Coturnix japonica: one gene and its partners. The protein of the gene in region 3 interacts with the protein of the main gene of each other region in a biochemical or structural test. Links are inferred from orthologs where the notes say so. Each region holds a gene or a part of one and is shown on either strand. Other genes may lie near its edges. The genes, in order: BAG3, EEF1A1 and PLCG1.

Region 1 (3,647 bases), on a different chromosome or scaffold from region 3:
TTCATGTACCTGTGGGTATGAGCCACTGTTTCAGCTCTAGCCCAGCACGGCTAGCAGAGATAAGTGGAAGGTAATAACCCTCCCCGCTCTACATACCTGAGGTCTGTCTACGACCGTCTGTACTGTGATGGGAGTCGAGGGCTGTACCTGCTGGGTGATAATTCTGGCAGGTGAACTCTCACGACTTGATGCCCCTCTCTGAGTGGCTCTGAATGGAGACTGTGCTCGTGCTGTCTTAGGCTCCCTGTCATCTGGTTGAATTCTGGGAAATACAGGTTGGTGGGCTTGGAATTCACTCTGCTGGGCAGGGTAGTGTGTCTTCTGGGCCTGATGGTAGCCTTGCGGTGGTTGCCTTTGGATATTTTCATGGATCACAGGAATTGAAATATAGCCACGGGGAAGCTGATGGCTTCCTGAATTGGATCTGCCAGATGACTGAGGTGGAACCGTTTGAGAATCAGAAGCTCCAGGAGACTGAGGCTGCCATGAAAACAAAATCCATTATTAAATCAGCTGTTTCAGCTCATAGCACTTTTCATTTTCAAAGAGAAATGGAAACTGAATTTGTGTTCCCACATACAAAAGATCTACGTCCTTGGTTTGGGTTTGTGTTGGTTTGTGTTCTATTTTTTTTTGCCTTGCTAGACAAACCACAGAAGTTGTGAGAGAGCATCATTATAACAAGTAATAACCTGAGCTACAGCATTCCCAGCCCTCAAGTAAGCAGGGAGTGGATGCTCACTCAGAATGTTTTCTGTTTTTACATGGCTACTCCTGTCTAAACCTGTTAAATGTGAGGCAAACTAAAGTTAAGCAAACAAATTATGTACTGCAGACAAAAAACAAACTACTCAGAGGCACACAAAGTTCAGACTTCTGATCCCACTCATGCTAACAGATTTATTTACTTCTTTAAGCATGTAATTTAGTGCACTGCCAAAGCCTGCTATGTGTGGCTAATGCCCCTTGACCCCTCACGAGACCTTCCAGCACATCAGCCCTGTTGGCACCAGGAGTGATAGCTGCACTAGTGTAGATTTGCTGTAAGCAGGAGCAAGTGCTGGGGATACACCACAATTCAGCTTCTGGTATTTCAGGTTATGGTTCCACAGCATCTGGGGAAAGGCAGTTTATTTGCTCACAGCTCACTCCTTCTCTACTCCTGCTGTGCCAGTCCATCAACTCACCTACTATGGACTATTCTCTATACTTTAACCCATGAAGGAGAGGAAAAATTATTTCCTGACAGGTTTATTGATATCTCAGTGACAGGCCAGGTAAGACTGGAGTTAGCACAGGAGGGAGAGCAGGACAATGTAGCTGGAAGCAACAAGTAGGCAGGCAAGGTGAGAAAGGATAGGGAACAAGATGTCTTTTGTGCTAGTTAATGCTCACCTCTGCAGCTCAGCAGCTATAAATAAATGCTACTTTTTCTACAGGCACCAGCACTGCTGTGTCAGTGCCCTGGTCAGTTAGTGCCCATGCCACCTAAGTTTGTGATGGCAGCTTCTCCAGTCCTCAGCAGTTATCTCAGAGCACATGAGATGGAGAAGACTTTTCTGAAGCAATTCTGCATGTAATACAAAAGTATATTCCCAGCTGCATTAAGTTGAGAGAAGGAAGAACTAAGCCTCCCATCCTTGCACTTCATGGATAAAGCAGCAACAACTGAGGAAAACTGCGAACAGGATTTTAATTGTCTTGTTCAGACACAAAAACAGGTTTTAGAAAAATATCTGCCACTGCCGACATGAAAAATTCCCCATGTGTTTTCATGCTGATAGAGGCTCGATTTCCTGCTTATTTTACTTGGAACAGAAGTGAGATTAGTGCTTCAGCCTATTACAAGAATACTGCTCCTGCTAATTCTGAGGAGATAACAGACAAACCAAAATCCTGCCTTTTGAAAAGCAAAGCAAGGAGGGTGACTCTTTTTAAAGCAGTTCATGTATTATAACATACTACAAAATAACAACAAAAATATTTCCGAATTCACTTCTAAATCTGTGTATGCAGATCTATACAATTAATAAAACCAGAGTATTAAACTGGAAAGCAGAATAGCCCTGTTTCTGAAACAGCCTAAGCTGTCAGCTAATGGGACACTTGTATTTTGTGTCTCTCCCCTTGCTCACCTGTTTCCCACATAGGGAATGCAAGAGATCTGCCTGCATTCCCAGCTTGCAGAGTAACCACTCTAAACCCTACAACAGCCCTCACCTGCCGCAGGAGCACCTGCACCATTCACAGGCTTTTTTATAGAGAAAATTTTCACAGGCTTGTTTCTGTGCAAATCACTTGATAACAAAAGCTGTCAATGCCGGAAAAATGTGAAACACTTCTGCTGAAGTGACTGAGCACTTTTGTATTTCAACACTGTGGAAGTATTGGGAAAATGTAATCCTGTGGCAGGTTTGGCTTTCCAAAGGATAAAGTACTCGTGTGACAGTCAGGTCATACATGGCCGCAGAGACCAAGGCACACACACCCCAGCAGTACTGCCGAGTTACCTCAGGTCCGTGTGTCGCTGGAGCTGGGGCTGCTGCAGCTGCTGTTGTCTGTCCACATTGTTTATCTGCCTGGGAAGCCTCAGCCGGCCCCCTATGAGGGGACTCAGGGCTGGCATAGGCCCCCCTCAGTGGTGGCTGTGCCTGCGCTGTGGTGGGCACGGCTTCTGCTTTGTACCGCTGTACGCCGGGCTGTGGAGCAGCAAAGTATGGGTGCTGTCTGCTGTCGATGCCCTCGTGGATGACTGGGATGGGGATGTAGCCAGCCCGGAGCTTGGGGTACACCACGTTTCCTTCCCGTGCTGGCATCTGCCTGGGACTATCTTGAGATGGGCCATTTGCTGACGACTGGCCATCCTAGAAATTAAAAACATCACATAGCATTTGTTGGTAGCTCAGCTCAACATACCACGTAAGAAAGCAGCCATAAAGGTCTGTCTAAAAGAAGCGTCAGCCAGGCATGAGAAGCTCAGCTCCTCAGGTCTGTGCAAGGTCAGCAGGCAGGAGAAAGGAAGCTGAACACCAATTAGGTATGAGCCTTTCACCCTCAGTGCTGATAAATGCTAACTGAGGCACTAAAATACCACATTACAACAGGGATTTTCTGTAGCGCTCACTACCTGCATACAGCCATGAGTCCAGCTGCCTCACCTGGTACCATGCTAATTAAATGAGAGCTTCAGGGACCACAGATGTTTCCTTAACACCCCTTCAAATCCACCCAGCGTTATAGATAACAGCAGAAAAGAAACTTAGAAGATTTATCTCATCATAGAGCAGTATTTGTTGGTATTGTGCTTCCTACTGCCTATCTAGAGTTACTGCTGCTTCATTCTGAAGAAGATACTCACAGCCAAGAGAGGATCCACTTCAGCAGATTCCAACAGGATAACATAATGAAGAGGAAAATGCTGGAAGGTTAGATAATATTAATTCCTGTGCTGGCCAACTGCACTCACTGGACAATGTCAAAGCTCTGGCAAGGGGGAAAGTGCTTTGTACCAAGATCCCTCCCAAGTCCTCTATTAAGTTCTTCCTGCATCGGTCATTCTATTTTGAGGCCCAGCTAGGGCCAAGTTCCAGATGTATCTCTAAGTCAGATCATGTAACAAGCACCTCTGTCATTCAGAGGGTAATGTC
Region 2 (3,747 bases), on a different chromosome or scaffold from region 3:
ACTACTGAAAAAACCCAAACCCACGTATTTAACTATTGTTTAACTTATCTTAATGATCCTGCTAGTTCCATTTCCTAATATTAAAAAGGAAAACAGGGAAACCTACGTTAGAGCTGGGCTCCAGCATGTTGTCCCCGTTCCAACCAGAGATTGGCACAAAAGCTACAGTGTCTGGGTTGTAGCCAATTTTCTTGATGTAAGTGCTGACTTCCTTGACGATCTCTTCGTATCTCTTCTGGCTGTAAGCGGGCTCAGTGGAATCCATCTTGTTAACACCAACGATCAGCTGTTTCACACCCAGGGTGTAGGCCAGAAGAGCGTGCTCGCGGGTCTGCCCGTTCTTGGAAATACCGGCCTCGAACTCACCAACACCAGCAGCAACAATCAGGACAGCACAATCAGCCTTTGAAAAGGTAGAAAAAAGCCCTTGTTAGAAAGCCTACACGCACACTAAAGCACATGGGCAATTTCCCTGCTGTAAACCAGCCAAGGAGCAGCTTCCCTCAACTCCCCACATCCTTTATTTCCTTACCTGAGAAGTTCCAGTGATCATGTTCTTAATGAAGTCTCTGTGTCCAGGAGCGTCGATGATGGTGACGTAGTACTTGCTTGTTTCAAATTTCCACAGGGAAATATCAATAGTGATACCACGCTCACGCTCAGCCTTGAGCTTGTCCAAGACCCAGGCGTATTTGAAGGAACCTTTGCCCATCTATGGGTTTGAAACAGGAAAAAAAAACCCCTCAAGATATATATTTTCATTTACCTCACCAAGACCATGAAATACACACTAACGAGCAAAGTTATTAATAGGGAGTGACTTACACTGAAAGCTGCTGTTGCTCATAAAACTCTGGCCTAGGTTCACTTGGCACTACTACCAAGATATGCCAACTGCTCTGTCATTTAACCTGCTGACACTTCAGCCCTCTTGACAACTTGTTAATTGTGCTAACACATCTTTATGATGGATCTCTTAAGGCTTAGTCCTACTATCAAGTGTCCACTACAAATTTTAGCTTAGTTACTAATGCCATCCCTGCTCCAGTTGGTATTTTAACAGCCACACAGCCCAGCATTCACTGCATTTCCTTTTATCATGTGCTTACGAGGTGCTATTTTATCACTAAAACAAAACAAAGGAAAACTGGAATACTTCCACAGGTTCACATAATGGTACCTTAGACTCTCCCACCTTGAGACAAGGCTGATCATTACATTTTCAACTAAACTACAAGATGACATGAGACAACAGTCTAAAGCTGTGCCAGGGGAGGTCCAGATTGGATATTAGGAGTAATTCCTACTCCATAAGAGCAGCAATGCATTGAAACAGGCTGTGCACAGAGATGGTGGAGTCACTACCCTTGAAGTGTCCAAGAAACCTGCTGACGTGGCACTGAGGGACATGGTTAGTGGCCATGGTGGGGATGGGCTGATAGTTGGAGTTTCAAGGTCTTCTCCAACATTAACGATTCTGTAATTCTCAATCCAGGCCGAGAATGAAGATGGGAGCTCCCATTTTGATTCTAAGCGTTCAGATTTAGCTTCATGCTCTTTATTCTATGCTTCGATGACTTCACCTTAACATAACAGATTGAGTACTCTAGTTCAATTACCAGGACAATCTCGACCCAACCGCCTCCTTGTGGTAGTAAAACGTTCTGGTTTCCTTCCTTTTGCCCCTTATTCCCCCCAGTCTCCCACCACACGGCTGCCTCACACACCTCGGCCGCCTCCTTCTCGAACTTCTCGATGGTCCTCTTGTCGATGCCACCACATTTGTAGATGAGGTGCCCGGTGGTGGTGGACTTGCCGGAATCGACGTGGCCGATGACGACGATGTTAATGTGAGTCTTCTCCTTTCCCATTTCGGATGGTCTTTAGCTTCTTTCTTCCGGCCAAAGAGAAACGACACCTGAAAGTTCCAGAAGGAATCCCGGTTACAGCGGCCGCCCCCGTCCCGCAGCAGCGCCGCCCGCAGGGGGCAGAGGGCCCGTGTAGGCTCGGCCCCGCCCCACCGGGGGATGGGAGGGGGGAGTCGAGCAGCGGGGAGAGGCGGGCGGTGTTGGCGGCCCGTGTCCCCTCCGGCTCGCCCCCCTCCTCCGTCGCCCCCTCCCCGCATGGCGGCCGGGCCGGGCCGTGCTGGGGCGGCGGCGCGGGGCGGCGCGGAGGGCGGGGCCGCCCCTCTCCTTTGTGTGTGACTCACCCCGCCCGGGCCGCCGTCCTCCATTTTGTGAGCTGACGGCGGCAGGAAGAGCGGGCGGCCATTTTTTTTCTCGTGCCCCGGCCTTCCCTTCCCCCATCGCCCACACCGACGGCGCGGCCCCGCCATCCCCGGCCGCCACCCGCGTACGGCCGAGCACCGCACGCCGCACAGCAGCGCCAGGCGGCTCCGCAAGAAGCCGAAGCGGCGGTGCGGCCCCATGTGCTCATCGCGGCGCTGCCTCGCGTGAGCCCTCGGATGGGACACGTCGGCGTTACGCCGCCGCTCGCCCCGCTTCCCCCATCCGCCCCTTATCTCGCCATCCCCCCGCTCCGCCATCCCCACGCACCGCTGCACGGCGGCGCCTCAACCCCCCGCTCACGGTACATCCACGCACCCCCAGCATCCCCGCTCCCCCCACCCCCGGGCCCGGCCCGCCCCGCCGCACGCTCCTCACCCGCACGGCGTCGGCAAACCCGGAGCGGAAAAGAACGACGGCGTGAGCGCCGCCCCTTATATACCCTGCCACGGGGCGGGGCCTCGGCGCCGCGTCACGGCTCCCGGCGGGCCCAGCGCTAAGCCCCGCGCTAAGCCCCGCCCGGCAGCGCCGCACGCCGTGCTCCCCTGGGGGCGGCGGGGAGGGGCGGGGTGCGGATCCCAGCCCCGGGGGAGCCGGGCCGAGTGGCGGCCGGTCGGGACTCGCTGCCCCAATGCTGAACGGCATCGCCTGGAGCGCGGCCAGCCGGGATGGAGGTGCCGCTCCGCCGCCTCCCCCTCGGCACGGCAGCCATAGAGTCGCCGAGCTCCGCCTCAGGCCCGAGACTGCGGCCCGAGGGGACGCGGACAGCGAGCTGCGGGGTGGGAACTTGCAGACTAGCAGAGATCCCCGGTGGCCTCGCGTTTCACACAGGGCCAAGGAGATTCGCTTCAGCATCAATTCGGGGCTTCTGCTTGAGAGCTCCAAACTGCCCCGAGTGCCCCCATGCCGTACATTCCCGGCTGACAGGTGCCCCATGAGAGTCACCAAAGGTGCTGGCAGCCCCAGCCTTTGGCTTCTGAAACGGGGGCACCAGCACTGAAAGCCCTCGTGATTCCAGCAGGGTGTACTCGTGTAAAACACCTGTATGGCTTTCTAGTGGGAAATTAACCCCAGAAGGGAAACAAATACTTTATTCCTTTAATCACAGAACGACCTGGTTTGGAAGGGACCTCAAGGATCACCCCCTGCCTGGCAGGGCCACCAAACATACACATTTACTAGATCAGGTTGCCCAGGGCCCCATCCATCCTGGCCTTGAACACCTCCAAGGACGGGGCATCCACAACCTCCCTGGGCAGTCTGGGTTAAAAGGATCTGTTTTCTTCTTCTAAGAGAATGTAATGCACCCATGTTACAGTTACTTACGTGTACTCAACTGTAATCCCATTCAATTGTTGGCAGGGGCTCCACAGAACATGCTGAGTTGGAAGGCAGCCCCAGGGATCACCGCGTCCCACTCCTGGCTCCACACGTCTGAGAGCAGCATCCAAATGCTCCTTGA
Region 3 (3,440 bases):
AGCAGCAGCTCTGCTGTGTCTTTGTACCGGGGGGGGGGTTCCAGTGGGTTCTTAAGTGTTTTTTAAGACCACGATTTGAGTTGGTCACCTTGGCAGCCGGGAGAGGCAGGAAATAGTTTTTACTTTTGGTAAAGGTTTTAAAGAAGAAAACAAAACAAAAAGTGAAGCTGCCTGTGACTGTGGGCTGTGGCTGTGACTCGGGCTGGGGTAGCTTGCACTGCTATGGACTTTACTGCTCTCATTCCGAGGGCACGAACTCCCTGTAGCAACAATGCCACTTCTGAGAAGTGAACGGCAAGTTTCCCTTCCTTTTGTATATGTGAACGTGAGGGTGGGAGAGGGAAAGAGCTTGCTTGTACAGTTTGTTGAAATGAAACCAGACATTTTTGGTTGTTCCTAAATAAAGAGTGTAAAATACAAATGAGAGTCAGCTGGTGATTGCGGGGCTGCATCCCCACATTGCAGCCCTACCCCACTGCCACTTCTCACCCCCCACCCCAGCTGTAACCATGGGGCTGCTCCTGCTCACTCATCCCAGCAAGGAGAATGGCAAGGGCAGCAAAATGAGACAGCGTGCATGTAATACTGACACGTTTATTGGAGTTTAAGCTACAAGTGGGGCCTGCAGCCCCCAGCCCAGTGCACACCAATACAGCAGAGGGGTGGCGGGTCGTATGTGCAGAGGTTTTGTCTCTCACCCCAGCAGCTGTTGGGCTGTGCACATCCCTGCACGTCATTAAGGGTTTGTCGGTGAAGGTGGGTGGGTGGGTGTTTGGGTGGTTCTTTTGGTTGTTTATTATTATTTTTTTCCCAATTTTTTTTTAGTTCTCCGCTCAAACACACTTCAGCGGAGAAACTGGAAAAGCTGCCTGAAAGTAGGCCATAGCAGTGCCGTTTCAATAGAAACCAGTTCGCAGCGTGCCGTGAGATCCACAGGCACGGGAGGTGCTTCCAGCCAGCCCTACAGCCGGTTGTCCCCGTTGACTCTGGTCCTTCGCAGCACCCTATGGGGACAACAGAGGGGATGCAGTGTTGGAGCAGTGCTTCCAGGTCCTGTGCTGCATCCCACCACTCTGAGATTTCTATTTCCAGCTCCTATGCCCATGCCTGAATAGCACAGAGGCATGGAGGGATGGAAGAGCTCACAGCTCCCCCCATGCATCCCACACTATGCATCTCATCACCCCCCACCCCAATCAGTGAACCCCCAACAAGCCTTACCCTCACTTCCCAGCTTAATTTAGGGCTTCCAGAAAGCAGACAAGGCTACGACTCAGCTCTATCAGGATGCTGCATTTCACAGCCTGCCCCCCAAGGACCCTCCCCAGTGCCCACCTTCGCTCCCGGCTCTCAAAGTGCTCCGCCAGCTGCTCCTGTGACACTCGGAAGTCTTCAAATGGCTGCTGGTACCGCACCTCGAAGGAGCCCTCCCTGGCTCTGCTGGCCAGCAGCTGGCTGGCCATGTCCCCACCTCGCTCCCGCAGCACGGAGCCACCAAAGAGGCTGATGTCACCATTCTCCTGCTTGGGTCAGAGCAAAGAGCAGTGAAGGGGTTGAGATGGTGCAGAGCTATAGACAGGGCTGCCCTGGGCCATACAGCTAATCTATAGTGTCCCAGGCTTCCAGGTACTGGAAGCTCCATCATGGGATCCCACCAAAATGGACTCATAGGTTGGAAAACAGCCCTGAGATCACTAAGTCCAACCACCAACTGGACCTCCCCGCTTCTAAGCCGCATCTATTGCCACAGCTGCACCCCCTGAACTATCTGCAGGGACACACCACCCAGGGCAACCCATTCCAGTGCATGATTTTAGGTGAAGAAATCAAAGAATCTCCTTCTGCATGGCCCTGAGCCCTGGGGACTGGATGGGAGCAGGAGTCAGGACAGCACAGCTGTGCACTGGAGGATGGGTACAGCAATGCCTCACCTTGCTGGGGAAGATGTCAATCTTGACGAGCAGGGAAGCCAGCTCCAGGTTCTCACTGTAGTTGTTCTTCAGGGGTACGGCTCGGAACCCTGCGGCACACACAGCCCCACGCTATTTGCAGCACAGCTCCTTGACTGCCCCGTGCTCAGCAAATGGATGAGCACCAACACGGCACACACAGCAGCTCTGAGCCCTTACCGGTCTTCAAGCCTTTCACCAGGAAAGTCGCCTGTGCCAGGAAGTTCTCATCACTGAACATGTCCTCCTCATACACCACGAAGCGGAGGAAGGCGAACTCAGGGTTGCTGACCTGGAAGTGGAACTGCTTTGGGCTCCAGAGGGGGTTCAGGCCGTTGTCCGCTGTGCACAGAACACTGCAGTGAGAGGGCAGCCCCAGCACTGCTTTGCTCCTTCCACCCTTAAAGGTGGAAGCAGAGCCCCCAGCCCCATCTCCTCCCTTTGGTGTGAGGGTGTCTGAGCACCACGGCCAGCCCTCCCCACTCTGCTGCCAAGCCCCTGATAAGCACTGCAGCCAGCACAAAGGCTGCATCTGGGGGGAAACCAGCCCACCCATGCCACCTCTCCTTCCACACTCACCCACAATCTCTGTTTTCTGCTTCGCGTTGTCATACTCTGCCCCAGACACCTCCACCTCCACAAAAGGACACACGATTCCTCTGCCATTTTTGGGGAGGTGCCGGGCCCCCAGGACCTGGGGAACAGAGACTGAGTGAAGGGTGGGAGCCAAGGAAAAGACTTGTTTGCATACACAAACTTGCTGTCTGAGTAACTCCCCCCTGGGCTGCACTAAGCAGAGGTAGGAGAGATGCTGACACCTGGAGGGAAGCAGCTCTCAGATGTAGAACTGCTGCATATCACCAGTTTGTAGTTTAGCCTGAAGCCAGCAGCTCAGCTGCCCGCAGTCCTGCTGCAGCTGCACAGCCCAGCTGTGACCATGGCATCACTCCCCTAAGCTGGACCTTGGCACTGGGCACCCATGGCTTCATCAGAACTTCTCGCTCCCATCACTTTGGCTGGAGGAAGCTGTTCCTCCCCTCTGCCTGCAGCAGTGGGTGCTCAGCACAGAGGACAACCTGCTTCCTCACAGCACAGCTCCCCGCTCCTCCTGCCAAGAGCCATATGTCACTGGAGCAGGGGAAGGAGGCTCTGCCAGCACCGCATCACATGCTTTGAGTCATGCTGTGCTCCAGGCAGCTTCTCCATCCATGAAAGCTGGTGTTGGCTGGGGACAGCGGGCAGCTTTGAGCTCATCTCTTCAAGGAGACGGCTGTGGCATGGGGTCCCTTGATGCCTGGAGGCTGCAGCTTCACCCCGAGATGCAGGAAGAGTTTGAGGGGCAGCGCTTTGGTAAATGGAAGTCACAGAGAAATGGTGTTAGGGATTTCTAGGGAGTTATCATATGGATAATGCCAATGCCATGCCCCCCCCCACCCCAAGCAGAGTAGTGACTCTCTTGGGTGCCCCAGTCTTGGCCAACATCTGCCATCT

What was found.
Region 1: the proteins of PLCG1 (region 3) and BAG3 form a complex in vitro, tested with the Homo sapiens proteins (2 studies listed by BioGRID). The link is inferred for Coturnix japonica from reciprocal best matches to the Homo sapiens genes PLCG1 and BAG3.
Region 2: the proteins of PLCG1 (region 3) and EEF1A1 form a complex in vitro, tested with the Homo sapiens proteins (2 studies listed by BioGRID, with this or other methods). The link is inferred for Coturnix japonica from reciprocal best matches to the Homo sapiens genes PLCG1 and EEF1A1.

Annotation. Positions count from the first base shown.
Region 1 is NC_029521.1:27,000,194-27,003,840, reverse strand, and holds part of BAG3 (BAG family molecular chaperone regulator 3), read right to left. Parts: intron 2,865-3,647; coding exon 2,511-2,864; intron 481-2,510; coding exon 97-480; intron 1-96. UniProt on the Homo sapiens protein: Co-chaperone and adapter protein that connects different classes of molecular chaperones including heat shock proteins 70 (HSP70s), e.g. HSPA1A/HSP70 or HSPA8/HSC70, and small heat shock proteins (sHSPs), e.g. HSPB8.
Region 2 is NC_029518.1:74,353,141-74,356,887, reverse strand, and holds the start of EEF1A1 (elongation factor 1-alpha 1), read right to left. Parts: upstream 2,793-3,747; 5' UTR 2,664-2,792; intron 1,919-2,663; 5' UTR 1,872-1,918; coding exon 1,728-1,871; intron 713-1,727; coding exon 533-712; intron 404-532; coding exon 107-403; intron 1-106. UniProt on the Homo sapiens protein: Translation elongation factor that catalyzes the GTP-dependent binding of aminoacyl-tRNA (aa-tRNA) to the A-site of ribosomes during the elongation phase of protein synthesis.
Region 3 is NC_029535.1:4,220,447-4,223,886, reverse strand, and holds the end of PLCG1 (1-phosphatidylinositol 4,5-bisphosphate phosphodiesterase gamma-1), read right to left. Parts: intron 2,644-3,440; coding exon 2,529-2,643; intron 2,292-2,528; coding exon 2,130-2,291; intron 2,021-2,129; coding exon 1,932-2,020; intron 1,524-1,931; coding exon 1,336-1,523; intron 1,005-1,335; coding exon 962-1,004; 3' UTR 575-961; downstream 1-574. UniProt on the Homo sapiens protein: Mediates the production of the second messenger molecules diacylglycerol (DAG) and inositol 1,4,5-trisphosphate (IP3). Plays an important role in the regulation of intracellular signaling cascades.